Anolis sagrei: one gene and its partners. The protein of the gene in region 1 interacts with the protein of each later gene in a biochemical or structural test. Links are inferred from orthologs where the notes say so. Each region holds a gene or a part of one and is shown in the gene's direction. Other genes may lie near its edges. The genes, in order: NRIP1, THRA, RXRA and NR5A1.

Region 1 (8,188 bases):
TGTTTCTGATGCAAAAACCCTTGAAACAATGTATATAACTGTACAAATAATACCAGACAGCAGACTCTCTTCAAGATTTTTAGATGGTGGGAGCTGACTATTGCATTGCATGTTTAAAAGAAATGATCTGTAATTGGTGAATTTAGTATTATTTGAAAGTATGTTCATTAGTAGGTGACTTGGATTCCTGAAAAAAGGATGTAATTTAAGTAAAGTTGTTGTTGTTGTTGTTGTTGTTGTTACTATTATTATTCATAGTAGTAACAGTAGTAGTGTTGTCAAAGGTTTTCATGGCCAGAATCACTGGTTGCTTTGAGTTTTCTGGATTTTATGGCCATATTCCAGAAGCATTCTCTCCTGACATGTCACCCACATCTATGGCAGGCATCCTCAGAGGTTGGGGGGGGGGAACTAAGTAAGTGAGGTTTATATATCTCTGGAATGTCCAGGGTGGGGAAAGAACTTTTGTCTGCTTGCTGTAAGTGTGACTGTTGCAACTGGCCACTTTGATTGGCACTGAATGGTCTTGCAGCTTCAAAGCCTGGCTGCTTCTTTCCTGGGGGAATCCTTTGTTGGGAGGTGTTAGCTGGCTCTGATTGTTTCCTGCCTGGAACTTTGTTGTTTTTTGAGTGTTGCTGTTTATTTACTGCCCTGATTTTAGAGTACTTTTTAAATACCAGTAGCCAAATTTTGTTCATTTTCATGTTGAAATTGTCCACCTGCTTGTGGATTTCAATGGCTTCTCTGTGTAGTCTGACATGGTGTTGTTAGAGTGGTCCAGCATTTCTGTGTTCTCGGATAATATGCTGTGTCCAAGCTGGTTGATCAGATGCTCTGCTATGGCTGACATATCAGGTTGAATTACTCTGCAGTGCCAAACAGACAACAGTTCACTCCCCCACCCTGGACATTCCACAGATATATAAATTTCACTTGTCTAGTCTCCAACAGAATCCTCAACCTCTGAGGATGCCTGCCATAGATGTGGGCAAAATGTCAGGAGAGAATGCTTCTGGAATATGGCCATACAACCTGGAAAACTCACAACTAACCAACAGTAGTATATTTTTATATATTTTTTCTACCTCAACATGGCAAATGTTTAGTTCTGATAGTCACCGAGGCAGGGCAAGAGGATGGAGACTTTTGTCCAGGACTATGTTGCTCAAAGACTATGTGGAAAGTGATGTGAACCCTGCAAAAGGGCATATTTAAACACATTTTTAAACCATCCCAGTTTAACCAAGGTGTGACATCTCTGGAAAACTAGCAATATAAAACATTGCCTGTCTGGTGCATTATTATAATTTTACTTCACCATTTTGAGACAAAAATAAACAGGCTATACTACTGTTGGGTTGTGAGTTTTCGGGGCTGTAGATTCCTGACAGAGCAGAGCTTTCCAAACTGTTTTGTGACAGGTTAGTGCAGGTATGGGCAAATGTTGGTCCTCCAGGTGTTTTGGACTTCAACTCTCACCATTCCTAACAGCCTCAGACCCTTTCTTTTTTCTCCTTAGCCACATAAGCATAAGCAGCTGAGCAGGGAAGGAAGGGGCCCGAGACTGTTAGTAATGGTTGAAGTCCAAACCAACTGGAGGGCCAACGTTTGCCCATACATGTGTTAATGTGTTTGCTATAGTGCAGTGGTCCATGGACCACCAGTGGTCCCCAAGAACGAAAATATGGTCTGTAGCCTCACCATTAGTACACCATTGCCTCGAAACCATGTGGCATTGAGAGTGACTGATCTCACGAAACCCTCTTACAGTGCCAAGGCAACAGGGATGTCAGAAGGGGAGAGGCTGATTCCTCATGAAAGGGTACTACTACAACATCAGCTCTAGATTATTAAATAGGTGGGGGGTTTTTTGTGGGCAAACCGATGATGACTACCGAATGGTATATTGTATCTTCTGTATCTTCTGTATCAGAAACTAGAGCTGACTAGAGCCGTCTGCAAAGACATTACCCTCGGGATGCCCAGATTTCTGATGTGTTACTATCCTTGTGGGGAGCTTCTCTCATGCCCTCCCCCCCCATGGGGAGCTGGAACTGACAGAGGGAGATCATCTGCGCTCTCCCTGGATTTGAACCTTCGACCTGTCGGTCTTCAGTCCTTCCAGTACAGGGGTTTAACCCACCGCACCACCGGGGAAATGTTGATCAGCCACCAGTACCTTGGCAGCTACCTCTCCACAAAAGTCAACATTGACACTGAAATACAACACCACCTGAGCTCTGTGAGTGCTGCTTTTTTCTGAAAGAAGCAGAGAGTGTTTGAGGACTGGGACATCCGTAGGGATATCAAGGTGCTTGTTTATAAAGCAATTGTCCTCCCAACCCTGCTATACAACTGCTAAATGTGGACTGTCTACAGACATCACATGCAACTCCTGGAACTATTCCACCAGCGCTGCCTCTGGAAAATCCTGCAAATCTCTTGTGAAGAGAAGCAGACAAATGTCAGAGTGCTGGAAGAAGCAAAGACCACCAGCATTGAAGTGATGGTCCTCCGCCATCAACTCCGCTGGACCGGCCACGTTGTCCGGATGCCCGACCACCGTCTCCCAAAGCAGTTGCTCTACTCCGAACTCAAGAATGGAAAACGGAATGTTGGTGGGCAGGAAGTGATTTAAAGATGGGCTCATAGCCAACCTTAAAAACTCTGGCACAGAACTGGGAAGCCCTGGCCCTTGAGCGCTCTAGCTGGAGGTCAGCTGTGACCAGCAGTGCTGTAGAATTTGAAGAGGCATGAATGGAGGGTGAAAGAGAGAAACGTGTCAAGAGGAAGGCGCGTCAAGCCAACCCTGATCGAGACCACCTTCCACCTGGAAACCAATGCCCTTCACTGTGGGAGACAAGCCCGTAGCCAGGATTTCGTTTCGGGGGGGGGGGGGTGTGAATTTTTTTCAGGGGGGTTTCGGGGGGATGAGTTTCAGGGGGGGGCTGAGTCTGAGTGAAAGAGTGTCTACCCTAGCAAACCTTTTGTATCATTACCCCAATACCCCCATGCATATGGGATATATTGAGTATGGTGATCAGATCATGATATGAATAAACATAACAGTTTAAGTAATGCACCAGTAAAGCCTTTTCGCGAACCACCATGAGAATTTCGGGGGGGGGGGGGGCTGAAGCCCCCCGAGCCCCCCCCCCCCCCGGCTACATGCCTGGTGGGAGAAGATGCAGATCAAGAATAAATAATAATAATAATAATAATAAAACTTTATTTATACCCCGCTACCATCTCCCCAAGGGACTCGACGCGGCTTACATGAGGCCGAGCCCACAGTACATCAGCAAAAAACATCAAAGCAGTAATACAAAACAATAAAATAAAACTCATAAACAAAAAATAGGCAGTAAACATCGATAATAACACAGTAACATTTAAAAACCAATGGTTGGGCCAAATGTAATAGTTAAAATTAAAAAAATAATGCGGGACAAGACCAGGTGAAATATAACTAGAATAGAATTTCGGAAAAGAATGGGGTGTACAGACAGTTCTAGATCACTAATAAGGTGTAATTAGGAACATATTGGTGGGAGTTTCCTTATTCTGGGAAGGCACACTGGAACAACCACGTTTTCAAGCTCCTCCTAAAAATTGCCAAAGTTGGGGTGTGCCTAATATCCTTGGGGAGGGAGTTCCAGAGTCGGGGGGGGGGGCACCACCGAGAAGGCCCTCTCCCTCGTCCCCACCAATTGCGCCTGCGATGGAGGTGGGAGCGTGAGTAGGGCCTCTTCAGATGATCAAAGAGATCATGTGGGTTCGTACACAGAAATGTGGTCATGCAGGTAGGCAGGTCCCAAACCATTCAGGGCTTTGTAGGTAAGAACCTGCACCTTGAAGTGGGAATAGGGCTCCACAGTCACCTACAGACCCACCACCAGTACATTGATCTTGGAAGACTATCCTACTCGGACAACGAGGGATCGCCTAAGGAAGTAAGTAAAGTACCACCGGGGACTCCTACTGGAGCTGATGTGGTCTACCCAATGCCATTTTCTGAATCAGCACCTCAAATAACCAAAGAGAATCTAAAGTTGACTGAAAACTGATTTGTAACCCTTTTGGTACTAATGTTGGAGAGTGGTCCCTGGTCAAAAGAAAGGTTGAGAACCACTGCTGTAGTGTGTAAATGTTATGAGAAATGAGAAGAAAAAACATCTTTGGAATATGTTATGATGTTACCCATCATTTCTCCCCCCCCCCCCCCCCGAGATGTATTGTATTCCTTGTTACAATGGCTACTATGTCTTGGCCCTTCCCTCTTCTCAAGGGTCTGTTGAACCTTGGGCTTTGCTAGTAAACCTGCGTGACTGTCGCAAAAGGAAGCCTGCCTTCAAAGTGTGTCACCAACAAACAGGAAGGGTTTGAGGGAAGCTGCGTGCAGTCCCGACCGAGCCTGGAGGTGTCCCTCCCCGCCCTGGCTTCCCAAGGCATCTGCCTTCCTGTGTCAAGGGGGTGGCGGGGGAGAGAGAGAGAGAGAGAGAGAGAAAGGGGGGAAGGAAGAAAACCCAGTGAGAAACTTGGCTGGAGCGATGAATGGCGAGGAGAGGAGGCGGGTGGAGGGATTGTGACAGGCGGAAAGGAGGAGGGAGAGAGAAAGGGAGGGAGAGAGAAGAGAGAGAGAGAGAGGGCAGGCGGGAGAGGAGGGAGGGAGGGAGGATCACAGGCTGCGGGTGAAGCTTTGAAAGTCAGCCTCACAGGCATTGCAGCAGAGCCCCGAACCGGAGAGAGAGGAGGAGGAAGAGGAGGAGGAGGAGGAGACTCGAGGCGTCTTTTCCTGTGGAGAGCCAGCGAGAGGCGCAGGAGGAGACCCGAGGGGGCGAGAGACGCCTGCCTTCCTCCCTGCTCTGCGCCTTCCCCGTTTCCCTGGCCATTCAAGCCTCCGGAGCCCGGGCGTTTTGGCCAAGCGAGGCAAAGGAGAAGAGGCCAAGCAGAGCGAGGCGGCCAAGGGTGAGTCGAGTGCCTGCTTGGCGACGCTGCTGCTGCTGCTGCCACCGTGGCTTGGCTGGGCCGCCTTTCCCCTCTTACGGAGGGGGAAGGAAGGGCGAGAGAGGGAGGAGGAGGAGCAGGAGGGACGGAGGAAATGGCCGCGGAGGTTGGCGGGGGGCTTTGGGGAGAGGCAGAGGGAGAAGAAGGCAGAGAGAGAGAGAGGGAGGCAGAGGCGCTGCCCTGGCAGATGGGCAGGAGCGCGGAGCCAAGAGGCGAGAGGGCTCAGGGCGCAAAGGGAGCCTCTCATTAGTCTTCTTCGCCTTTGAATAACAAGCTCGGGAAGCCAGGCTAGGAGCTGTCATTCCCGAAGGAGGGAGGGAGCATATCAACAACATTGTTTCCGGTAGCAGGCAGGCAGGTTTTCAATCCCCCCACCACCACCCACCACCACCTTTCCCTCTCTGAAATGGACACCTTACAACCTCACAACCTCTGAGAATGCCTGCCATAGATGCAGGCGAAACGTCAGGAGAGAATGCTTCTAGAACACGGCCAATTGAAACATTGACACCTACCTCCAACAGACAAGAGTTCTTTATCCCACCCTGGACAACCCACAGATATACAATCCCCATTTTCCTAGTTTCCAACAGACCTCTCAACCTCTGAGGATGCCTGCCACATATTTGGGCGAAATGTCAGTAGATAATGCTTCATGGCCAGACAGTCTGGGAAACTTACAAAAAAACAGTGATTCTGGCCATGAAAGCCGCCAACAAAACGTTGGACACTTAAAGTTTGATCATCCCTTAGGGCCCTTCCGCACAGCCCTATAGCCCAGGATATCAAGACAGACAATCCCACAATACCTGCTTTGAACTAGGTAATCTGCATCCACACTCAGATAATGTGGGGTTTTCTGCCTTGATATTCTGGAATATAGAGCTGTGTGGAAGGGCCCTCAGATAACTCAGTTCAAACCAGATATTGTGGGATGTCCTGCCTTGATATTCTGGGATATAGGGCTGTGTGGAAGGGCCCTTAGACATGGGTGGGCAGGGAAAAGTTGGGGTCTCCCCCTTCCCCTCAGTGCCTCTTTTGACTGATTGAAATCACCAGGAATCCCCTGAAATGTTCACCTCTTCTGCCTTGTATTCCCCAGCCCTTTTACACAGCCCTACATCCCAGAATACCCAGGCAGAAAATCCCACATTATCTGAGTGTGGACGCCGATAACCCAGTTCAAAGCAGATATTGTGGTATTTTCTGCCTTCATATTCTGGGATATAGGGCTGTGTGGAAGGGCCCTGAGTATAGGTTCAGATAACCCAGGGCCCTTCCACACAACCATGTAACTCAGAATATCAAGCCAGAAAATCCCACAATATCTGCTTTGAACTGGGTTATCTGAGTCCACACTGCCATATATTCCAGTTCTAAAGCAGATAATGTGGGATCTTATTCAGCTTTGTGGAGGGGGGTGGGGTGCCAATTCAAAGCAGATATTGTGGGATTTCCTGCCTTGATATTCTGGGATATAGGGATGCCAAGAAGCCCCCCCCCCCCTTTCCCTGAATTATCCCAAGTCTTGTGCGCCATGGCTGCGGCGGCGCCTCTCAGGAAGCCAAGCTGGGCACAGGCTCGCACAGCTTTGAAAGATCCATGCACTTTGACTGCCATGGCTCTGTGCTAAAACTCTCTGGTGTTGCAGTTTTACAAGGTCTTACGCCTTCTCTGCCCAAGAGTGCTGCCGCCTCACCAAGCTACACGTGGCTATGGGCCCTTCCACACAGCCCTATCTGCCAGAATATCAAGGCAGAAAAGCCCACATTATCTGAGTGTAGACCCAGATAACTCAGTTCAAAGCAGATATTGTGGGATTTTCTGCCTTCATATTCTGGCATATAGGGCTGTGTGGAAGGGCCCTATGATTCCAGAGCACTGAGCCCTTGTGTGCTGGCAGGATTGCTGGTCAGTGGTTCAAATCCAGGGAGAGCGGGTTGAGCTCCCTCTGTCCGCTCCAGCTCCCCATGCGGAGACATGAGAGAAGCCTCCCACAAGAATGGTAAAAAATCAAACACCTGGGCTTCCCCTGGGCAATGTCCTTGCAGATGGCCAGTTCTCTCATGCCAAAAGCGACTTGCAGTTTCTCAAGCTTCTCGTGACACAAAAAAGGGCCCGTCAACACTCAAACATATAACTCAGAATATCAAGGCAGAAAATCCCACAATACCATCTTTGAATAGAGGGTGGTGCAATGGGTTAAACCCTTGTGCCGACAGGACTGAAGACTGATAGGTGAGTGGGTAGAATCTGGGGAGTGCAGTTTGCGCTCCCTCTCCCCATGCAGGGACATGAGAGTAGCTTCCCACAAGGATGATAAAACATCAAACATCTGGGTGTCCCTTGAGCAATGCCCTTGCAGACCGCCAATTCTCTCACACCAGACACGACTTACAGTTTCTCAAGTTGCTACTGACATGAAAAAAAAAATCTTTGAACTGGGTTATCTGAATCCACACTGTCATATATTCTAGTCCAAAGCAGAAAATATAGGATTTTATTCAACTGTGTAGAAGGGGTCTCTGACTGCATCCATTCCACAGTTGGGGTGCCCCCTTGGTCTCCCCTCTTTGCCTCCTCCTCTTCCTCCTCAGCTCTCCTTTCAAAGGGATGATCTCCCCTCCTTAGTCGCCTGCAAAACCACACCAGGCAAGGCCATGCCTTATGTCAGTCTCTGCTCAGCTCCTGTTATTTATTCACTCCCTTTCCATATCCAAACACATGCACCCAACCAGGGCTGGAGACCTTCAGATTTTTTAGTCATGATTCTTCCGCCCCCTCTCATGTGTCACAGACAAACCCCCACACCATCCTCCGTAAAAGGTGCTTTCTCATCATTTTGATCATATATACACTTTTGTGCCCTCCTGTAACCAGTCTTCTTTTGAGGCAAAGGTCTCTATTTAAAGCCCTTGCGCCGTCTGTTGCTCCATATACTGATAACAACATCTCACCTTATCATGATCCAGTGCTGCTAACAGAGAACATGAATCCAAAGATATATATACACACACACCTTTAATTCTTGAGGGATTGTAATTGAAAACACAGGCTCATGACTAAGAGTTTTATAAAATGATAGAAGGTTATTCTTGGTAACATTAAGTGCTTTTATTTGTTTGTTTTTTTGAATGTATTGTGATTTGGTTTAAGATGGCAAATGTTTTGACAGGCATGG
Region 2 (8,365 bases), on another chromosome or scaffold:
CATAGTTCTCGTGGGGAATTTTTGCAGGGGAAGTTGGTGTCATTGCCATGTAATGGGAAGCCAGTGAAAATGAACGAGCAGTGCCAGTTGCCAGTAGCTCATCAACGGGCGTTGTGGTGAAGGTTAGAGATGAGCGTCCTCATTCCGTTTCCCTCCAAGTGCAAAATTTGCGCTATAATACGCTACCTAAATACTAAGTGTATGAAAGCCGCTGCGATTCATCGTGAGAAAATTCATGGAATCAGTGTTTTGGGCCAGAAAAGGAGGTCTGCTTATTGATTTTTTTTTTTGAAAGAGGTAAAACAATCAATGCTGCAAGATATTGTGAGACCATGAAGAAACTTTGCAGTACCATCCAAAACAAACGTCGTGGGATGCTGATGGCGGGAGTCTGTCTCTTTCATGACTATGTGTGTCTGCACACCGCTCATGCAACACAAGCGTTATTGACTTCATTTGGTTGGGGTGTTTTCAGCCACCGCTCTCACAGCCACGATCTCATACCCAGTGACTATCATCTGTTCACTAAACTGAAGGAACACCTTGGTGGAAAACACTTTTCTGACCATGAGGTGAAAATCGAAGTGACGAACTGGATGAAAAAGGTGGAAAGAAACTTCTATGACACAGGCATAACAATTCATCATACTGATAACAAAATGTATTAAACTGAATGGTGATTATGTGGAAAATAATGCTATAATCCATGTAAGTTTTATTAAAATATATTCATTCTTAGTATTTTTAAAAAATCTTGTAACTATACTTTCCAGATATCCCTCATATGTTAAATTAGTCGAGACTCGATGTGATATTCATTGAAAAACTTTAGAAAAATGTGCTGCAGGATGTCCCACAAGAACAAAGTCTACTAAGAGCCCAGTATGTATGTCTACTCAATGCTTGTTCACAATTTTTGAGGCAATAACCTTATTAACCTGTCCTAAAATAAGGAATATGCAAGTGACATTTGAAAGTACACTTGAGACAGAGTGATATAGTTCAGTCCTCCTCCTAAGCGATTCCTCATAGTCCAAGTGTGATGGCCTTTCAAGTTCTTGGAAGACACTTGTGTTTTTTTTTAAATATGTGGAAGTTGGTTCACAGCCAATCAAAACGCAGTCTTCACAGAGTGGGGGTCCCAACCAGTGGCGTAATTAACACCACGACAGTGGCTTCTCAATCTGGTGCAACCTTCTTCTGCCTTCACAGCCATTGTAACATGTGCCATGTTATCTTCTGCCTGATCCAATGTTGAGGTCTTCGGATTGTGCTTGGTCTGGAACCTCCCCTGTGCACCCCCCCCCCCAGGAGTGCATGAATCTAGTGGTTATGCCCATAGGTTCATTGAAACATGCAAGCCGCCTCACAACGACAAGGTGACAATTCATCAAGGGGTATATATTTCATATATTTCAGTATGAGCTTCATCATATGTATCATGAACAAAACTATGCCTCAAAGGTGCTGCAAAGGTGGACTTCTCCACTTTTCCTTTCTTATGTCCAGTGTTTATTAGTCATTTTATGATTGTTTATTGTTGGACTATTCCTCCCGCCCCTTTCTCTCCTTCTTCTTTCTCCCTGTTCTTCCTTCTCTACCGATTCTTGGACTGCAACTCCCACCAGTCCTCCTGATCTCTCTGTCTATCTATCTCTATGTCATCTAGCTATCTGGAGGATTGCTGGCAGTTACAGTCCGGGAATAGGAAATTGGAAATATGGAGAGATTGGGATGCTTTCATAGAAATCCAAGGAGAAGAAAGCTTGCATCTTGGAAGCAGTGCATTTGGATCATCCTCTCCTCCTAAAGGGCCTGGTCTAGAGGATGCTGGGAGCTGTAGTCTGGAAGCAAGTGTGGCTATGCTATTGTGTGTTTTGTTTGCTGGGGGAGTCGTTTTTGCGCGTGCGCTGTAGCATCTTTTTGCTTTTTTGCCTTTTTAAGTCCCTTCTGTTGTGTTTTTCAGTGTTTTATGAGTGATGGTCACTCATTAGCCTGATAGGTGTATTGTGTCCAAATTTTGTGTCAATTCACCCAGTTGGTTTTGAGTTATGTTAATCCCACAAACTAACATTACATTTTTATTTATATAGATGGCGCATGGAGGGCAGAAGACCAATGCAAGTGTTAGATATAGATATACACAGCAGAAATCGCTAAATGCAAAAGGCAGCTTTTCAATCTTTCTCCAAATACATAAAATGTGTTGCTGTTAATTCACATTGAGTTGGCTTTGACTTTGGGCACAACATGAATGCAGTTTGATGCTATTTTAGCTGCTATGGTTCAATACGATGGAATAATAGGATTTATAACTTTACAAGGTTTTTAGCCTTCTCTGCCAAAGCATGCTGGGATCTAATCTACAACTTCTAGGATTCCATAGCACTGAGTCCTAGCAGTGAAAGTGGCATCAAATTGCATTAATTCTACAGTGTAGATGAACCCATTCTCGTTTCCTTATTATTTTTTTCTAAGGAGTCATGTCATTTCATGAAATGTGCAAGGTAAAACGGTTTCTGTTGGTCCATTTGATTTGCTCATTTGTCTTTGTCGCATGCACAAAATTATTTTTAAAATATTGTGTAAAATGACCTTTCGGACAATTGTATATGGTGCATATGAAACATAAAGTAATTTACTGTCTAGATCTGAATTCAATCTCCAAGATATCGCATTATGTATGCAAATACAGGGATTCCAAAATAATAAAAAAATTGGACATCCAAGGCTGGACCTACACTGCCATATAATCCAGTTTCTAAATCTAGATTGAACTGGATTATATGAGTCTATACTGCCGTATAGTCCCGTTCAATGCAGACAATCTGGATTCAGAAACTGGATTATATGGCAGTGTAGATGGGACCCAAAATACTTTTGATTCCAAACATTTCAGGTAAGGGATACTCAACTAGTACAAAGGGAAAAAACAAAGTGTCAGTACCTTCACTGAGCCAGATGTCATTTGTAGGCAGGGTTGCAATTATTCCAAAGACCTAGCAAAACTGCAACTCCCAGGATCCCACAGCCTTGAGCCTGGGCAATTAACGTTACAATGATTCCAAAGACCCTGTAAAACTACAATTCCCAGGATTACATAGCCTTGAGCCTGAGCAAGAGTTGCAAGGATTCAAAAGACCTTGCAAAACTACAACTCCCAGGATTCTATAGCCTTGAGCCAGGGCAGTTAAGAATTGCAAATGATTCAAAAGACCTTGCAAAACTACAACTCCCAGGATGCCATACCCTTGAGCCTGGACAGTTGAGAGTTGCAAGGATCCAAAAGACCTTGCAAAACTACAACTCCCAGGATCCCATAACTTTGAGCCATGCATTGACTCTAAAAAACCTTGCAAAACTACAACTCCCAGGGTTCCACAGCCTTCAGCCTGAGCAGCTAGAGTTGCAAGGACTCAAAAGACCTTGCAAAACTACAACTCCCAGGATCCCATAACCTTGAGCCATGCATTGACTCTAAAAAAAACTTACAAAACTACAACTCCCCGGACTCCATTGCCTGGAGTCTGCAAAACTACAACTCCCAGGACCCCATAACTTTGAGCCATGCATTGACTCTAAAACCTTGCAAAACTACAACTCCTAGGGTTCCACAGCCTTGAGCCTGGGCAGTTACGACTTGCAATGATTCAGAAAGACCTTGCAAAACTACAACTCCCAGGATCCCACAGCCTTGAGTGTGGGCAATTAACGTTACAATGATGCCAAAGACCCTGTAAAACTACAATTCCCAGTATTCCACAGCCTTGAGCCAGGACAGTTAGAATTGCATTGATTCAAAGACCTTGCAAAACTACAACTCCCAGGATTCCATAGCCTTGAGCCTGGGCAGTTAAGAGTTGCAAATGATTCAGAAAGACTTTGCAAAACTACAACTCCTAGGATCCCATAACTTTGAGCCATGTTTTGATTCTAAAAGACCTTGCAAAACTACAACTCCCAGGATCCCACAGCCTTGAGCCAGGGCAGTTGAGAGTTGCAAATTATTCAAAAGTCCTTGCAAAACTACAACTCCCAGGATCCCACAACCTTGAGCCATGCATTGACTCTAAAAAACCTTACAAAACTACAATGCCCGAGATTCCACAGCCTTGAGCCTGAGCAGCTAGAGTTGCAATGATGCAAAAGACCTTGCAAAACTACAACTCCCAGGATCCCATAACCTTGAGCCATGCATTGACTCTAAAAAAAACTTACAAAACTACAACTCCCCGGACTCCATAGCCTGGAGTCTGCAAAACTACAACTCCCAGGACCCCATAACTTTGAGCCATGCATTGACTCTAAAACCTTGCAAAACTACAACTCCTAGGGTTCCACAGCCTTGAGCCTGGGCAGTTGAGAGTTGCAATGATTCAAAAGACCTTGCAAAACTACAAATCCCAGGACCCCATAACCTTGAGTCATGCATTGACTCTAAAAAGCTTTGAAAAACTACAACTCCCAGGATTCCATAGCCGTGAGCCTGAGCAAGAGTTGCAAGGATTCAAAAGACCTTGCAAAACTACAACTCCCAGGATCCCATAAGTTTGAGTCATGCATTGACTCTAAAAAGCTTTGAAAAACTACAACTCCCAGGATTCCGTAGACTTGAGCCTGAGCAGCTAGAGTTGCAAGGATTCAAAATACCTTGCAACCCTACAACTCCCAGGATTCCACAGCCTTGAGCCTGGGCAGGTAAGAATTGCAAATGATTCAGAAAGGCCTTGCAAAACTACATCTCCCAGGATCCCATAACCTTGAGCCATGCAATGACTCTAAAAAACCTTGCAAAACTACAATTCCCGGGATTCCACAGCCTTGAGCCCGAGCAGCTAGAGTTGCAAGAACTCAAAAGACCTTGCAAAACTACAACTCCCAGGATCCCACAACCTTGAGCCGGGGTAGTTAAGGAGTTGCGTGGATTCCGAAGGCCATGTCCAACTAACTTGCCTTCGGGACGCCTCTTTGGGGAGGGAGAGAGGTGGGAGTATTTTCCTCCTTCCTTCCTTCCCTCTTTTCCTTCCTTCTTTCCCTGGCAGCACGCGCCCTCGGCCTGCAGGGTGCAGGCGTCAGCTAAGGCGGCGGTGGCAGCAACAGCAAGAGAGGCAGAAGCAGCAAAAGCAGGGAGAGGGAGGAGGAGGAGGAGGAGCCAGGGCCGGCCTCCTTCCCTTCGCCTCTCGAGTCCATTTCCCCAGCTCTAGTGACACCAACGCACCAGGCGAGCGCCGCTGCCCTTGCTCCTGCTGCTTCTCCTCCTCCTCCAGGATCTTACAAACCTCCTCGTCGGTGGCGCCTCCTTCTCTTCTTCCTCCTCCTCCTCCTCCAAAGAAGAAGAGCAAGGGAAACTCCAGCTTGGAAAGGAGGGAGGAGGAGAAGAAGGGGAGGGGGGGGGGCAAGGCAAGCACCACGCCAGCTTCCTGCTTGCAAAGAAGAAGGGAGGGGGGGAAAGAGAGAGAGAGCAAAGGCGACGCTGAAGCAGCCAAAGGTAAGCTTGTGGGCAAAGAGTGGCTTGGTTGGAAGAGGGAGAGGGTGTCCTTCCTGAACCCCAATATGTCTTCCCTCTTTTGAGCCTTGTATATGTATGTAGATATATTTTTCCAGCTGTCTCCACCCTCCTTGCCCCGTCCCATCGCAGCTGTTCCTGTCACTGCCAACGTTGCAAATCTGAAGATTTGGGGAGGGTTCCCCCCTTTTCCCACCCTTTTCCCACCCTCCCCTTCTCTTTTCCATGGAGGGATTTCATATGGAGAGCAATCCCTTCTCTCCCTGTTTTTCCCCCCTCCCTCTCTCTCTCTCTCTTCCTTTAATCTCATCACTTACTCTTCTCTTTCTCCCCCTCCTCCCCCTGCTTGGCATTAACCTATATATATATCTATATATCTATATGTTCTGCCTCTCCAGTAATGGAGAGAGAGAGTGCTTTAAAGGAGGGGCAAAAAAATAAAAGGGGGAGGAGGAGAAAAAAAAGAGAGAGACAGCTCTGTAGTTGTAGACACTTCCCTTTTAAAAAATATGTGTGTGTATGTGTGTTTTTCCTGGTTTGTTTACTGCGCTGCTCAAGAGATTGGTGCCAACTTGGGGTTTGCAGGAAAATATATATAAAGGGCTTGGACGGGAGTTGTTGTGCCAACTTGAGGTTTAAAAATATGTCATAGATATAAACACACATGCACATGTGTATATGTATATATATATATATATATATATATATATGCACACACACTTATGTATATAAGTGCACACACAGACATATATATCTGTGTATATATATCTATACACACATATATGCACACACACATCTGTATATATAGGTACACAGACATATATATGTATGTATATGTATGTATGTATATATACACACACACATTATATGCACACACACATCTGTATATATATGCGCACACAGATATATATATACCTGTGTATATATATCTATACACATATATATGCGCACACACATCTGTATATATAGGTACACAGACATATATATGTATGTATATATATACACAACCATATATATGCACACACACATCTGTATATATATGCACACACAGACATATATCTGTGTATATATATCTATACACATATATATGCACACACATCTGTATATATATGCACACACAGACATATATATCTGTGTATATATATATACACATATATATGCGCGCGCACATCTGTATATATAGGCACACAGACATATATATGTATGTATATATATGTATGTATATATATGCACACACATATATGCACACACATATTTGTATATATATGCACACACAGACATATATATGTGTGTGTATATGTGTATGTATATATATCTATACACACACATATATATGCGCACACATATATATGTGTATGTCTATATAAATAAAAATGTAATGCTCGTTTGTGGGATTAACATAACTCAAAAAACACTGGAGGAAAAACTATATCTATACACACACACATATATATATGCACACACAGACATATATATGCATGTATATATACATACATACACACATATATATGCACACACATATTTGTATATATATGCACAAAGAGATATATATGTGTGTGTGTATATATATATATATATATATATATACACACATATATATGCACACACATACATATATATGTGTGTATATCGATATAAATAAAATGTAATGTTTGTTTGTGGGATTAACATAACTCAAAAAACACTGGAGGAATTGTGTATATATATGTACGTATATATATATCTATATACACTCACATATATATGCACACACACATATATATGTGTGTGTATGTATATCGATATAAATAAAAATGTAATGTTTGTTTGTGGGATTAACATAACTCAAAAAACACTGGAGGAATTGACACCAAATTTGGACACAAGACGCCTATCAGGCCAACAAATGACCATCACTCACAAAAACACTGAAAACCACAACAGAAGAGGCTTAAAAAGCAAAAAAATACATTGCAACACATGTGCAGAACCACATACACACATATATACACAAATATATATACACATACAAAACACATATACACAGACTGGGCCACAGCAACGCATGCCAGGGAATGGCTAGTGTGTGTGTGTGTGTGTGTGTATACACACGCACATATACACAAACACATAGGACTGGGATTTGAGTTATACCCCCTCCCTTGCACATTCCCTTCTGGAATTAAACATTGCACTGTGTTGTCAGAGGCTTTCATGGCCAGGATCACTGGATTGCTGTGAGTCTTCCGGGCTGCATGGCTACGTTCTAGAAGCATTCTCTCCTGACGTTTCGCCTACATCTTTGCCAGGCATCCTCAGAAGTTGTGATGTCAGTTGGAAATGAAGCAAGTAATGTTTATATATCTGTGGAAGGTCCAAGGTGAAAGACAGAACTATTGTGTGTTGGAGATAAGTTTGATTCACAGGGAGGAATCAGCCAGGCTTTGAAGCTGCAGAGCTATTGTATACTCATCAAGGTGATTAATTGCCACATTCACACTTGCCTCCAGCAGACATGAGTTCTTTCTCCCATCCACAAATATATAAACCCCACTTGTCTAGCTTCCAACAGATCGCACAACCGCTGAGGATGCCTGCCATAAATGTGGGCGAAACGTCAGGAGAGAATGCTTCTGGAACTTGGCCATACAGCTTGAAAAACTCACAGCAATCCAGAGATTCTTGCAACTGCCAAGGATATAAATATGTATTTGTATATGCTTTTTAGGTTGGATTCATATCTTCCCTCGTCTTCCCCCCGTTTATGAATCTCTTCCTTCCTGTTTGCAATTGTTATTATTGTTGTTACTGTTTTAAAAAGGAGTTGCAAAGGTTAGGAAAGTAGTTTTGACATTGGCCGGAGGAGTTTGGGAAAGGGGA
Region 3 (7,655 bases), on another chromosome or scaffold:
CCCCTAAATCACTGTCAATCAATCCCAAATCACTCCAGAATTTTCTGTTGGTCATGGGGGTCTCATGTGTGGGAAGTTTGGCCCAATTCTATCATTGGTGGGGTTCAGAATACTCTTTGATTATAAGTGAATGGCAAATCCCAACTACAACTCCCAAATGTCAAGGTCTATTTTGCCCAAGCTCCACCAGTGTTCACATTTGGGCATATTGAGTATCCATGCCAAGTTTGGTCCGGATCTATCATTGTTTTGAGTCCACAGTGCTCTCTGGATGTAGGTGAGCTACAACTCCAAAACTCAAGGTCAATGCCCATCAAACCCATCCAGTAGGTGAACGATAAATCCCAATAACTACAACTCCCAAATGTCAAGGTCTATTTTTCCCAAGCTCCACCAGTGTTCACATTTGGGCATATTGAGTATTTGTGCCAAGTTTCGTCTGGATCCATCATTGTTTGAGTGCACAGCGCTCTCTGAATGTAGGTGAGCTACAACTCCAAAACTCAAGGTCAATGCCCATCAAACCCATCCAGTAGGTGAACGATAAATCCCAATAACTACAACTCCCAAATGACAAGGTCTATTTTCTCCAAACTCTACCAGTGTTCACATTTGGGCATATTGAGTATTTGTGCCAAGTTTCGTCTGGATCCATCATTGTTTGAGTGCACAGCGCTCTCTGAATGTAGGTGAGCTACAACTCCAAAACTCAAGGTCAATGCCCATCAAACCCATCCAGTAGGTGAACGATAAATCCCAATAACTACAACTCCCAAATGACAAGGTCTATTTTCTCCAAACTCTACCAGTGTTCACATTTGGGCATATTGAGTATTTGTGCCAAGTTTCGTCTGGATCCATCATTGTTTGAGTGCACAGCGCTCTCTGGATGTAGGTGAGCTACAACTCCAAAACTCAAGGTCAATGCCCACCAAACCCATCCAGTAGATGAACGATAAATCCCAACAACTACAACTCCCAAATGTCAAGGTCTATTTCCCCCCCAAATTCCACCAATGTTCACATCTGGGCATATTGAGTATTTGTGACAAGTTTTGTCTGGATCCATCATTGTTTGAGTCCACAGTGCTCTCTGGATGTAGGTGAACTACAACTCCCAAACTCAAGGTCAATGTCCACCAAACCATTCCAGTATTTTCTGTTGTTCATGGGAGTTCTGTGTGCCAATTCCATCGCTAGTAGAGTTCAGAATGGTCTTTGATTATAGGTGAATTATAAATCCCAGCAACTACAACTCCCAAATGTCAAGGTCTATTTTCCCCAAACTCCAAGGTGTGAATGTGTGGGCAAGGGAGAGTGTGTGAGGATGGAGGGAGGCTCATGCCAGTGAGTCCCTTCAAGATATGGGGATTCTGTGTGGGAAGTTTGGGTTCTATCCCAATTCCATCGTTGGTGGGGTTCAGAATGCTCTTTGATTGTAGGTGAACTATAAATCCCAGCAACTTCAACTCCTAAATGTCAAGGTCTATTTTCCCAAAACTCCACCAGTGTTCACATTTGGACATATTGAGTATCCATGCCAAGTTTGGTCCGGATCTATCATTGTTTTGAGTCCACAGTGCTCTCTGGATGTAGGTGAACTACAACTCCAAAACTCAAGGTCAATGTCCACCAAACCCTTCCAGTATTTTCTGTTGGTCATGGGAGTTCTGTGTGTCAAGTTTGGTTGAATTCCATCATTGGTGGAGTTCAGAATGCTCTTTGATTGTAGGTGAACTATAAATCCCAGCAACTACAACTCCCAAATGACAAAATCATTATCACCCCTCGCCGAACCCCATCAGTATTCAAATTTGGGCATATCAGGTATTTCTGTCAAAATTGGTCCAATGAATGAAAATACATTCTGCATATCAGATATTTACATGGTTGGGGGTCACCACAACATGAGGAACTGTATTAAGGGGTCACGGCATTAGGAAGGTTGAGAACCACTGCCCTATGAGGAGCGGCTTAAAGAGGAAGCAGCCAAGCCTTGAAACTGCAGGTCCATTCAAAATCTGGCTACCAGTATTAATTAAAACACTCTAAAATCAGGACAGCAAGTAAAGAACAACACTCAAAAAGCAGGGGAACAATCAGGCTCAACTCCCAACAAAGGATTCCTGCAGGCAGCAACCAGCCAAGCCTTGAAGCTGCGAGTCCATTCAAAATCTGGCTACCAGTATTAATTAAAACACTCTAAAATCAGGACAGTAAGTAAAGAACAACACTAAAAAGCAGGGGAATTGCAGACAAGAAAATATCTGGTACATCTAATACCTCCCAACAAAGGATTCCCCCAGGCAGGAAGCAGCCAAGCCTTGAAACTGCAAGTCCATTCAAAATCCGGCTACCAGTATTAATTAAAACACTCTAAAATCAGGACAGTAAGTAAAGACACTCAAAAAGCAGGGGAATTCCAGAAAAGAAACAATCAGAATCACCTCCCAACAAAGGATTCCCGCAGGCAGCAACCAGCCAAGCCTTGAAGCTGCAAGTCCATTCAAAATCTGGCTACCAGTATTAAAACACTCTAAAATCAGGACAGTAAGTAAAGAACAACACTCAAAACATGGGAATTCCAGACAGGAATCAATCAGGGCCATATAATGCCTCCCAACAAAGGATTCCCCCAGGCTGGGAGCGGCCAAGCCTTGAAACTGCAAGTCCATTCAAAATCTGGCTACCAGTATTAAAACACTCTAAAGTCAGGACAGTAAGTAAAGAACAACACTCAAAAATCAGGTGAATTCCAGACAAAAAACAATCAGGCTCAACTCCCAACAAAGGATTCCCCCAGGCAGGAAGTGGTCAAGCCTTGAAGCTGCTAAGCTTTTCAATGCAAATCAAGGTGGTCAATTGCAGCATTTCCACTTGCTTCCAAGAGACAGAGTGGACATCATTCCCCAGATATAGAAACCCAATTTCCCTAGTTTCCAACAGACTTCACAACCTCTGAGGGTGCCTGCCATAGATGTGGGCGAAACGTCAGGAGAGAGTGCTTCTGGAATATTTCCAGACATTGTATTGCCGAAGGCTTTCATGGCCGGAATCACTGGGTTGTTGTAGGTTTTTTCCGGGCTATATGGCCATGTTCTAGAGCAGTGTTTCTCAACCTTCCTAATGCCGCGACCCCTTAATACAGTTCCTCATGCTGTGGTGACCCCCAACCCTAAAATTATTTTCGTTGCTACTTCATAACTGGCATTTTGCTACTGTTATGAATCGTCATGTAAATATCTGATAAGCAGGATGTATTTTCAATCTCTGGACATTGGGAGTTATAGTTGCTGGGATTTATAGTTCACCTACAATCAAAGAGCATTCTGATCTCCACCAGAGATAGAATTGACCTAAACTTGGCACACAGAACGCCCATGACTAGCACAAAATAATGAAAGGGTTAGATGAGCATTGGCCTTGAGTTTGGGAGTTGTAGTTCATCTATCTCCAGCAAGCACTGTGGACTCAAACAATGATAGATCTGGACTGAACTTGGCGCAAATACTCAATATGCCCAAATGTGGACACTGGTGGAGTTTGGAGATAATAGACCTTGACATTTGGGAGTTGTAGTTGCTGGGATTTATAGTTCACCTACAATCAGAGAGCATTCTGAACCTTACCAATGATAGAATTGGGCCAAACTTCCCACACAGAACTCCCATGACCAGCAGAAAATACTGTGTATCCTGATGGAGTTTGGCGACCCCTCTGACACCCCGTCGCGACTCCCCCAGGGGTCCCGACCCCCAGGTTGAGAACCACTGTTCTAGAGGCATTTTCTCCTGACGTTTCGCCTGCATCTATGGCAAGCATCCTTAGAGGTAGTGAGTTTTTTCAGACAGCCTGGAAAACTCACAGCAACCCAATGATTCCAGCCTTCGACAAGAGTTGGCAAAGGCTGGCGAGAGAGGCGACAGTTCCCAGCATTCCTCTTTTTTTTGGTGTGGGGGAGTTTTGGGATTGATAGTCCTGGCCACGACTTAGAGGGATGCCCAAGGTCTAACTTGGGTTTTGTTTGGTGTCCTTCCCTTTTGGCGAGGTTCTTTAAGTCCCCCCCAAAGCGCCTCAATGGCGTCGTCCCTCGCGTTTCCCCCTTCGTGAGTCGGGTCCCCCTTGGAGTTTCTTTTCTTTGGAGACACGCAAGCCACGCGAGCGCGCGCGCGCAGGCGCTCGTGCCCGCGCCCACCCACGAGAGCGCGAGCCCAAGTACTTTTTTCCCTGGGTATTTTTTTCCTTCTTCTTCTTCTTTCTCCCTCTTTTGAGTTCCCTTCTTCTCTGGACGAGTTTTTGGAGAGGCGCAAAAGGGGAGAAAAACAAGGAAAGTCGGCCTTCTTTTCCTTCTTTTCCTTGGACTTTTGTATTATTCCGGATTTTTGTCTTGTTATATTTTAGAGAGAGGGGGAGGGCTTGCTCTGCTCCTAAAAGGCGGACCGAGAGGAGAACCAGAGACCCTCCCCCTTTCCCAAAAAGAACACAACAACAAAACAAGAAACCTCTCCAAAATCCATCTGGCAATGAGTTAAAAAAAAAGCGGCGCAAAGAAGGAGATGGACACCAAACATTTCCTCCCTTTGGGTGAGTTTTTGGGGGGCTCTTCCTCCCCCGATTTTTCCTATATCCTTTAGGGGAAAAAGTGGGGAATCAAGGGGGGAAAAAGAGAGAGAAAAAGGGGGAGGATTGGAGGAGGAAGAGGAGCACCCCAAACAACAACAACGTCAAGGCGAGATGCGTAAAAAGCCGTGCGTAAAAGCGCACGCGTTTGGGGGGCTTGCAAAAAAGCCCCTTTTCCAAGTAAAGCTTTTGGGGAACCCTCCCCCAAAGGGTCCAGTTAGACAAAAGAGGGTCTCAGGATGGTCCCCATATAGGTTATATGCGTCTATGTCTTTCTATAATGGGGGAGTGTCCCTTCTTTCTCGCCATGCCCAATGCAGAGAGAGCAGTTGCTTTCTCCACTCTGGCTCGGCTTGTGGCAATGGAGCCAGGCAGGCCTTGGAAAGGAAGGGGAAAGGGAGCCTTTGGGGGTGTGTGGTTGCGGCTGTCGTTGTGTTCTCGGCCCTCGGTGGTTGCCTCTTGGGTTGACACGGCTTTGGGGGAGTCCCAACTGGCTGCCTCGGCTCAAAGAGTGTTTTGGGGGAGCTCGAAGTTCAGTCGGACGGGAAGCGAGGAAAAGGGTTTGCGCTTTGGAGAGAAGTGGCCCAGAGAGAGAAAGAGAGAGAGAGTGTGTGTGTGTGGACTGGGTAAACTGCACTAGGATCTGGGCCCTTCCTTCCTTCTTTCCTCCTTTCCTTCCTTCTTTCCTTCCTTCCTTCTTTTCTTCCTCCTTCCCTCTCTCCCTGCCTTCTTTCGTCCCTCCCTTTCACTTTATTTCTTTTTCTTTCTTCCCTTCTCTCACTCTCCTTCCTTCCTTCTTTCCTTCTTTTCTTACTCCCCTCCCTCCCTGCCTTCTTTCCTTCCTTCCTTCTTTCGTCCCTCCCTTTCACTTTATTTCTTTTTCTTTCTTCCCTTCTCTCACTCTCCTTCCTGCCTTCCTTCCTTCCTTTTTTCCTTCCATCTTTCTTCCTGCCTTCTTTCCTCCCTCCCTTCTTGCCTTCCTTTCTTCTTTCTTTCCTTACTTCTTTCCTTCCTTCCTTCTTTCCTTCCTTTCTTCTATCATCCCTCCCTTCTTTCTTTCCTTCCTTCTTGCCTTCATTTGTTCCTTGTTTCCTTCCTCCCTTTCACTTTATTTCTTTTTCTTTCTTCCATTCTCTCTCCTTCCTTCCTTCTTTCCTTCCTTTTTCCTTCCATCTTCCTTCCTTCCTTCCTTCTTTTCTCCCTTCCTTCTTTCTTTCTTTCCTTCCTTCCTCCTTGCCTTCATTTCTTCCTTGTTTCCTCCCTCCATTTCACTTTAATTCTTTTTCATTCTTCCCTTCTCCTTCCTTCCTTCCTTCCTTCCTTCCTTCCTTCCTTCCTTCTTTCTTTCTCCCTCCCTTATTTCATTCCTCCATTCCTTTCACTTTATTATTTTTCTTTTTTTCCTTCTCTCACCTTCCTTCTTTCCTTCCTTCCTTTCTCTCTTCTTTCCCCTTCCTCCCTTATCTCTCTTCTTCCACCCTCCTTTCACTCTTCCATTCTATTCCTCTTTCTTCTATTTCTTTCTCTCTCTCCTTCCACCACTCCTTTAACTTGTATTTTTCTATTTATTTATTTTCTTCCTTCTTCACTTCCTTCTTTCTCTCCTTCCCCTTCCTCTCTCCCCCTCCCTTTTCTATTTCTTTCTTCCCTTTTCTCTCACTGTCCTCCCTCCTTTCCTCTCTTTTTCCTCCCCTTTTCTTTCATTCTTTCATTCTTTCTTTCTCTCTCCCCTTCTCCTTCCTTCATTCCCCTCCCTTTCGGTCCCCCTTCCCCTCTCTTTTCTATTTCTTTCTTCCCTTCTCTCTCTTTCCTCTTTCTTTCTTTCTTTCTTTCTTTCTTTCTTTCTGTCTTCCCTTCTCCTTCCTTCCTTCCTTCCTTCCTTCCTTCCTCTCTCTCTTTCTCTCTCTCTCTCTCTCTCACCTTCCTTCCTCTCTTCCCCATCCCCTATTTTTTCTATTTCTTTCTTCCTCTCTCTCTTTCCTTCCTTCCATCCCCTCACTTTTTTCTATTTCTTTCTTTTCTGCTTCCTCTTTCCTCCCCTCTTTGGACCCTTCCACACCACCTTATAACCCAGAATATCAAGGCCGATGATAATCCACAATATCTGCTTTGAACTGGATTATCTGAGTCCACACTGCCATATCATCCAGCTCAATGTGGATCTTATACAGCTGTGTGAAAGGGGTCTCACGTTCTTCCTTTCTTCCCTACCCCTTCCTTCCTTCCTTCCTTCCTTCCTTCCTTCCTTCCTTCCTGGGTTTTATTTTAAGATTTACTTTTGTATGCTTTGAATTGTATAGTTTCCAAAGGTTGTGAGCTGATTTGGGTGTTGTGCCTTGAGTTAAAAGCAAGGTAATAATAGTAATAATAATAATAATAATAATAATAATAATAATAGTAATAGCAATAATATAATAATAGTAATAATATAATAATAATATAGTAATATAATAATAATAATATAGTAATATAATAATAATAATAATGGTAATAATAGCAGCAACAACAATTCCTCCCTCCTTCTACTTTCTTTTTCCCTCCTACTTTCTTCTTCTCTTCTCGTCTTCCCTCCCTCTTTCTTTCTTTCTTTCCTTCTCTCTCTCTTTCTCTTTCCCTCTCTTTCTGACTTCCTTTCCTCCAGTTTTTGGAAGTTGGCATTGGGCGGAGAGTCTCCGAAGGAGGGGAGGAGGAGACTTTTGGAAGCTCTCTGCAGGAAATCCAAAGAAAGAAGGGAACGAAGGAAAGGAGGAGTGCGAGCAGGCCTGGGAGTGTTGCGAAAGGCCACCACCGCTCCTTCTCCCTCTTTGGGTGTCCCACTAAATAAAAAAGCCTTGTTTTTAAATGTCCGAAACATGCCATTCCATGTAGGTACTTTCCCAAGTTTTGGGCCATTATAGGAATCCACCTCATAATGTATTTGGAGTCAAATACTTTTGTGGAGAGTGCTTTCTGTTTGGAGAGATTTGTGTCTGTTTCTTTTGTCCCCTTCCTTACTTTTACACCAACCCTTGAAATGAACTCTTTCTGCACCTTTG
Region 4 (7,718 bases), on another chromosome or scaffold:
GACACAATATTCCAGGTAAAGTGGTCTAACCAAGGCAGAATAGAGCATGGGGAGCACGACTTCCTTAGATCTAGACACTATGCTCCTCTTGATGCAGGCCAACATCCCATTGGCTTTTTTTGCCACCACATCACATTGTTGGCTCATGTTTAACTTGTTGTCCACGAGGACTCCAAGAATTAATAAATGCACGCACACACACACACACACATATATATAATGCAATATTTTTAGCAAAATTACATGTAATGTATAATATACTAGCCGTCCCCTGCATGTGTTGCTGTGGCTCAGTCTATGTGTGTATATGAGTATATGTGTGTTTGCGTGTATATACATATGTGTGTGTGTGTGAGGGGGGGGTTTTTGCAAAATTACATGTAATGTATAATATACTAGCCGTCCCCTGCATGTGTTGCTGTGGCTCAGTCTATGTGTGTATATGAGTATATGTGTGTTTGCGTGTATATATATATGTGGTTTTGTGCATGTGTTGTAATGTAATTTTTGGGTTTTTTGGCCTTTTAAGTCCCTTCTGCTGTGTTTTTCAATGTTTTCATGAGTGATGGTCACTCTTTGGCCTGAGAGGTATCTTGTGGCCAAATTTGGTCTCAGTTCATCCAGTGGTTTTGGAGTTCTGTTAATCCCACAAATGAACGTTGCCTTCTTATTTGTATAGATATAATAATTATTATATTGTTTTGTATTATTAGCATTGTGTTACATTATTATACAATATAATAATGTAATGGGGGCCCGCAGTGGGTTAGACCGCTGAGCTGCTGAACTTGCTTACCGAAAGGTCACAGGTTCGAATCCGGGGAGCGGGGTGAGCTCCTGCTGTCAGCCACAGCTTCTGCCAACCAAGCAGTTGGAAAACATGCGAATGTGAGTAGATCAAAAGGAAGGTAAGGGTGCTCCATGCAGTTATGCCAGTGGCCACATGATCTTGGAGGTGTCTACGGACAATGCCGGCTCTTCAGCTTAGAAATGGAGATGAGCACCAGAGTCCCAGAGTTGGTGAGCTTCCACTGTCAGCCCCAGCTTCTGTCAACCTAGCAGTTCCAAAACATGCACATGTGAGTAGATGGGTAGGTACCGCTCCAGCGGGAAGGTAAGGGCGCACCATGCAGTCAGGTCAGCAGTTCGAATCCGGGGAGCGGGGTGAGCTCCTGCTGTCAGCCCCAGCTTCTGCCAACATAGCAGTTCCAAAACATGCAAATGTGAGTAGATGGGTAGGTACCGCTCCTGCGGGAAGGTAAGGGCGCACCATGCAGTCAGGTCAGCAGTTCGAATCCGGGGAGCGGGGTGAGCTCCTGCTGTCAGCCCCAGCTTCTGCCAACATAGCAGTTCCAAAACATGCAAATGTGAGTAGATGGGTAGGTACCCGCTTCAGCGGGAAGGTAAGGGCACTCCATGCAGTCAGGTCAGCGGTTCGAATCCGGAGAGCAGGGTGAGCTCCTGCTGTCAGCCCCAGCATCTGCCAACCTAACAGTTCCAAAACATGCCAATGGTACTACTCCAGTGGGAAGTTAAGGACGCTCCATGCAGTCTTGCCAGCTACATGACCTTGGAGGTGTCTACGGACAACGCCAGACATTTGGCTTAGGAATGGAGATGACCACCAGAGTCCCAGAGTTGGTGAGCTTCCGCTGTCAGCCCCAGCTTCTGCCAACCTAGCAGTTTGAAAACATGCAAATGTGAGTAGATCAATAGGAAGGTAAGGGTGCTCCATGCAGTCCTGCCAGTGGCCACATGCCCTTGGAGGTGTCTACGGACAACGCCGGCTTTTCGGCTTAGGAATGGAGATGAGCACCAGAGTCCCAGAGTTGATGAGCTTCCGCTGTCAGCCCCAGCTTCTGCCAACCTAGCAGTTTGAAAACATGCAAATGTGAGTAGATCAATAGGAAGGTAAGGGTGCTCCATGCAGTCATGCCTATGGCCACATGCCCTTGGAGGTGTCTACGGACAACGCCGGCTCTTCGGCTTAGGAATGGAGATGAGCACCAGAGTCCCAGAGTTGGTGAGCTTCTGCTGTCAGCCCCAGCTTCTGCCAACTTAGCAGTTCGAAACCATGCCAATGTGAGTAGATCAATAGGAAGGTAAGGGCTCTCCATGCAGTCAGGTCAGCGGTTTGAATCCGGGGAGCAGGGTGAGCTCCTGCTGTCAGCCCCAGCTTCTGCCAACCTAGCAGTTCGAAACCATGCCAATGTGAGTAGATCAATAGGAAGGTAAGGGTGCTCTGTGCAGTCCTGCCTTGGAGGTGTCTACGGACAACGCCGGCTCTTTGGCTTAGGAATGGAGATGACCACCAGAGTCCCAGAGTTGGAGAGCTTCCGCTGTCAGCCCCAGCTTCTGCCAACCTAGCAGTTCGAAACCATGCCAATGTGAGTAGATCAATAGGAAGGTAAGGGTGCTCTGTGCAGTCCTGCCTTGGAGGTGTCTACGGACAACGCCGGCTCTTTGGCTTAGGAATGGAGATGACCACCAGAGTCCCAGAGTTGGAGAGCTTCCGCTGTCAGCCCCAGCTTCTGCCAACTTAGCAGTTCGAAACCATGCCAATGTGAGTAGATCAATAGGAAGGTAAGGGTGCTCTGTGCAGTCCTGCCTTGGAGGTGTCTACGGACAACGCCGGCTCTTCGGCTTAGGAATGGAGATGACCACCAGAGTCCCAGAGTTGGTGAGCTTCTGCTGTCAGCCCCAGCTTCTGCCAACTTAGCAGTTCGAAACCATGCCAGTGTGAGTAGATCAATAGGATGGTAAGGGTGCTCTGTGCAGTCCTGCCTTGGAGGTGTCTACGGACAACGCCGGCTCTTTGGCTTAGGAATGGAGATGAGCACCAGAGTCCCAGAGTTGGTGAGCTTCCGCTGTCAGCCCCAGCTTCTGCCAACTTAGCAGTTCGAAAGCATGCCAATGTGAGTAGATCAATAGGAGGGTAAGGGTGCTCTGTGCAGTCCTGCCTTGGAGGTGTCTACGGACAACGCCGGCTCTTTGGCTTAGGAATGGAGATGACCACCAGAGTCCCAGAGTTGGAGAGCTTCCGCTGTCAGCCCCAGCTTCTGCCAACCTAGCAGTTTGAAAAGATGCAAATGTGAGTAGATCAATAGGAAGGTAAGGGTGCTCTGTGCAGTCCTGCCTTGGAGGTGTCTACGGACAACGCCGGCTCTTTGGCTTAGGAATGGAGATGACCACCAGAGTCCCAGAGTTGGTGAGCTTCTGCTGTCAGCCCTAGCTTCTGCCAACTTAGCAGTTTGAAACCATGCCAATGTGAGTAGATCAATAGTAAGGTAAGGGCTCTCCATGCAGTCAGGTCAGCGGTTTGAATCCAGGGAGCAGGGTGAGCTCCTGCTGTCAGCCCCAGCTTCTGCCAACCTAGCAGTTCAAAACCATGCCAATGTGAGTAGATCAATAGGAAGGTAAGGGTGCTCTGTGCAGTCCTGCCTTGGAGGTGTCTACGGACAACGCCGGCTCTTTGGCTTAGGAATGGAGATGACCACCAAAGTCCCAGAGTTGATGAGCTTCCGCTGTCAGCCCCAGCTTCTGCCAACTTAGCAGTTCGAAACCATGCCAATGTGAGTAGATCAATAGGATGGTAAGGGCTCTCCATGCAGTCAGGTCAGCGGTTCGAATCCGGGGAGCATGGTGAGCTCCTGCTGTCAGCTCCAGCTTCTGCCGACCTAGCAGTTCGAAACCATGCCAATGTGAGTAGATCAATAGGAAGGTAAGGGTGCTCTGTGCAGTCCTGCCTTGGAGGTGTCTACGGACAACGCCGGCTCTTTGGCTTAGGAATGGAGATGACCACCAAAGTCCCAGAGTTGATGAGCTTCCGCTGTCAGCCCCAGCTTCTGCCAACCTAGCAGTTTGAAACCATGCCAATGTGAGTAGATCAATAGGAAGGTAAGGGCTCTCCATGCAGTCAGGTCAGCGGTTCGAATCCGGGGAGCAGGGTGAGCTCCTGCTGTCAGCCCCAGCTTCTGCCAACCTAGCAGTTCGAAACCATGCCAATGTGAGTAGATCAATAGGAAGGTAAGGGTGCTCTGTGCAGTCCTGCCTTGGAGGTGTCTACGGACAACGCCGGCTCTTTGGCTTAGGAATGGAGATGAGCACCAGAGTCCCAGAGTCGGACTGGACTGGACTTAATGCCAGGGGAAAGCCTTTCCTTGTACCTTCTTTGGAGGTTTCGAAACAGAGGTGTGGTGGCCATCTGTCGGGGTGCCGGGCCCCCCAAAGTAAGCCCTCTCTTGCTGGAGGGTCTCCAGGGGGTGCTGGGCCCTCCTTTCTCCTTTGGCCGCCTTCTTTCTCCCTCCTCCTCCTCCTCCCTCTCTTTCTTTCTTTCTTTCTTTCTTTCTCCCCTTGTTTTGTTTTGTGTTTTTTCCTCCCTCCAAAGAGGAGGGCACATCAGGCGCATCAGCAGCATCAGCATCAGCCTCAGCCGCCCTGCTCTATAAAAGCCTCCCCTCTTCTTCCTTTCCTCCCTTCCCTTCTTCTTCTTCCCTTCCTTTCCTTCCTTCCTTCCTTCCTAGGTGAAGGATGGACTACTCCTACGACGAAGACCTGGACGAGCTGTGCCCGGTGTGTGGGGACAAGGTCTCGGGGTACCACTACGGGCTGCTCACCTGCGAGAGCTGCAAGGTAAGACCCCCAAAGACCCCAGGACACATGGAGATGCATTCTATGGCAATGTGGACTCGGATAGTCCAGCTCAAAGCCCACCTGGTGGGTCACCTGCCTTGATGTTCTGGGCTCCATGGCTGTGTGGGAGAAGGGTCCCATCAAGGCGCCCCGGCTTCGGAAACTTTTGCGCACTCCTGATAGGAAATAATCGGGATCCAAAAGTATGAAGCGCATCCTGTGCATGGTCTGCCTTGATACCATATCATTAGTATATTACTATTACTAGTATATATAATTGCGGATATAATGTACTGTGACTAGTAATATTGCAGTATAGTAGTGTAGTACAATGTGATCGTTAATCATACGAATTCTGTGCTATGCTAATAATATAATATAATAATAATATTATAATATATTATAATAATATATTGATGTGTCTAGTAATATTGCAGTATAGTAGTATAGTACAACGTGATAGTAAATCATACTAATACTGTGCTATGCTAATAATATAATATAATATAATATAATATAATATAATATAATATAATATAATATATATAATATTATTATTATAATAATATAATCATATATTAATGTGTCTAGTAATATTGCAGTATAGTACAGTGTGATAGTAAATCATACTAATTCTGTGCTATGCTAATAATATATATATACATATAATATTATTAAAATATAGTATAATAATATATTAATGTGTTTAGTAATATTGCAGTACAGGACATGTGATAATATACTAATACTCTGCTATGCTCAAAATATATATACGTATAATATTATAATAATATTGTTATAATATAATAATTTTTTTATTTATTGCAGTATAGTAGCATAGTACAATGTGATAGTAAATCATACTAATTCTGTGCTATGCTAATAATATAGTATATATACATATAATATTATTAAAATATAATATAATCATATATTAATGTGTTTAGTAATATTGCAGTACAGGACAGTGTGATAATATACTAATACTCTGCTATGCTCAAAATATATATACGTATAATATTATAATAATATTGTTATAATATAATAATATTTATTTATTTATTGCAGTATAGTAGTATACTACAATGTGATAGTAAATCATACTAATTCTGTGCTATGCTGATAATATATAATACATACATAGAATATTATTATAATATAATAATATATTGATGTGTCTAGTAATATTACAGTATAGTAGTATAGTACAATGTGATAGTAAATCATACTAATACTGTGCTATGCTAATAATATAATATAATATAATATAATATAATATTATATATATATATATATATATATATATATATATAATCATATATTAATGTGACTAGTAATATTGCAGTATAGTACAGTGTGATAATACATCATACTAATACTATGCTTTGCTAATAATATAGTATATATACGTATACCATTATAATATTATAATATAATAATATATTATTTATTTATTGCAGTATAAATAGATAAATAATATTGCAGTATAGTAGTATAGTACAGTGTGATAATATATCATACTAATACTGTGCTTTGCTAATAATATATTATATATACGTATAATATATTATTTATTTATTGCAGTATAAATAGATAAATAATATAGTAGTATACTACAATGTGATAGTAAATCATACTAATACTGTGCTATGCTAATAATATATTATATATACATACAATATTATTATAATATAATCATATATTAATGTGACTAGTAATGTTGCAGTATGGTAGTATAGTGCAGTGTGATAATAAATCATACTAATACTGTGCTATGCTAATAATATAATATAATATAATATAATATAATATATATAATATTATAATAATAATATAATATATTAATGTGACTAGTAATATTGCAGTATAGTACAGTGTGATAATACATCATGCTAATACTGTGCTTTGCTAATAATATAGTATATATACGTATACCATTATAATATTATAATATAATATTATGCTATGTGCTATGCTAATAATATATTAGATATACGTATAATATATCATTTATTTATTGCAGTATAAATAGATAAATAATATAGTAGTATACTACAATGTGATAATAAATCATACTAATACTGTGCTATGCTAATCATATATTAATGTGACTAGTAATATTGCAGTATAGTAGTATAGTACAGTGTGATAATATTATATTATTAGCATAGCACAATATCACCTACTTTCCCATAAGATATATTGGTTTTTAAACCATGCTCTCCTTTTAATTGTATATTGAGAAGGGCAGCATATAAAGGGAACTCAGAGCGGCTTACAAGATATATATATATACACACACACACACACACACACACACAATATATATATATTATATTATTAGCATAGCACAATATCAGTATTATAATACAATATTATATTATAATAAAACACCTACTTTCCCATAAGATATATTGGTTTTTAAACCATGCTCTCCTTTTAATTGTATATTGTTTTTGCAATACTTTGTGTTTTGTCTAATTGTATATTGTTTTTAAGGCATTGCATTATTGCCGATGTTGTGAGCCGCCTTGAGTCGGGGTCGAGAAAGGCGACATATAAATATAGTAAATAATATATAAATACAATATAATATAATATTATAATGTATTAATACAATTGTAAATACAATATAATATATGATAATATATTGCTATGCTAATATAGTAATATATAAATACAATATAATACATTAATATAATATAAGAATATAATAATAAATACAATATAATATAATATTATAATGTATTAACATAATTGTAAATACAATATAATATATGATAATATATTGCTATGCTAATATAGCAATATATAAATAGAATATAATACATTAATATAATATAATAATATATGAATATAATATATAATATAATATAATAATGTATTAATACAATTGTAAATACAATATAATATATGATAAAATAATATAATGTATTGCTATACTAATATAGTAATATATAAATACAATATAATAATATAATAATTTATGAATATAATAATAAATACAATATAATATAATATTATAATGTATTAATACAATTGAAAATACAATATAATATGATAAAATAATATAATATATTGCTATA

Evidence for each region.
Region 2: the proteins of NRIP1 (region 1) and THRA form a complex in vitro, tested with the Homo sapiens proteins (4 studies listed by BioGRID). The link is inferred for Anolis sagrei from reciprocal best matches to the Homo sapiens genes NRIP1 and THRA.
Region 3: the proteins of NRIP1 (region 1) and RXRA form a complex in vitro, tested with the Homo sapiens proteins (2 studies listed by BioGRID). The link is inferred for Anolis sagrei from reciprocal best matches to the Homo sapiens genes NRIP1 and RXRA.
Region 4: the proteins of NRIP1 (region 1) and NR5A1 form a complex in vitro, tested with the Homo sapiens proteins (2 studies listed by BioGRID). The link is inferred for Anolis sagrei from reciprocal best matches to the Homo sapiens genes NRIP1 and NR5A1.

What each region holds. Positions count from the first base shown.
Region 1 is NC_090023.1:61,573,162-61,581,349, reverse strand, and holds the start of NRIP1 (nuclear receptor-interacting protein 1), read left to right. Parts: upstream 1-4,655; 5' UTR 4,656-4,968; intron 4,969-8,188. UniProt on the Homo sapiens protein: Modulates transcriptional activation by steroid receptors such as NR3C1, NR3C2 and ESR1. Also modulates transcriptional repression by nuclear hormone receptors.
Region 2 is NC_090026.1:40,792,415-40,800,779, reverse strand, and holds the start of THRA (thyroid hormone receptor alpha), read left to right. Parts: upstream 1-5,135; 5' UTR 5,136-5,488; intron 5,489-8,365.
Region 3 is NC_090031.1:5,342,865-5,350,519, reverse strand, and holds the start of RXRA (retinoic acid receptor RXR-alpha), read left to right. Parts: upstream 1-4,156; 5' UTR 4,157-4,556; coding exon 4,557-4,584; intron 4,585-7,655. UniProt on the Homo sapiens protein: Receptor for retinoic acid that acts as a transcription factor.
Region 4 is NC_090031.1:247,440-255,157, forward strand, and holds the start of NR5A1 (steroidogenic factor 1), read left to right. Parts: upstream 1-4,530; coding exon 4,531-4,632; intron 4,633-7,718. UniProt on the Homo sapiens protein: Transcriptional activator. Essential for sexual differentiation and formation of the primary steroidogenic tissues. Binds to the Ad4 site found in the promoter region of steroidogenic P450 genes such as CYP11A, CYP11B and CYP21B.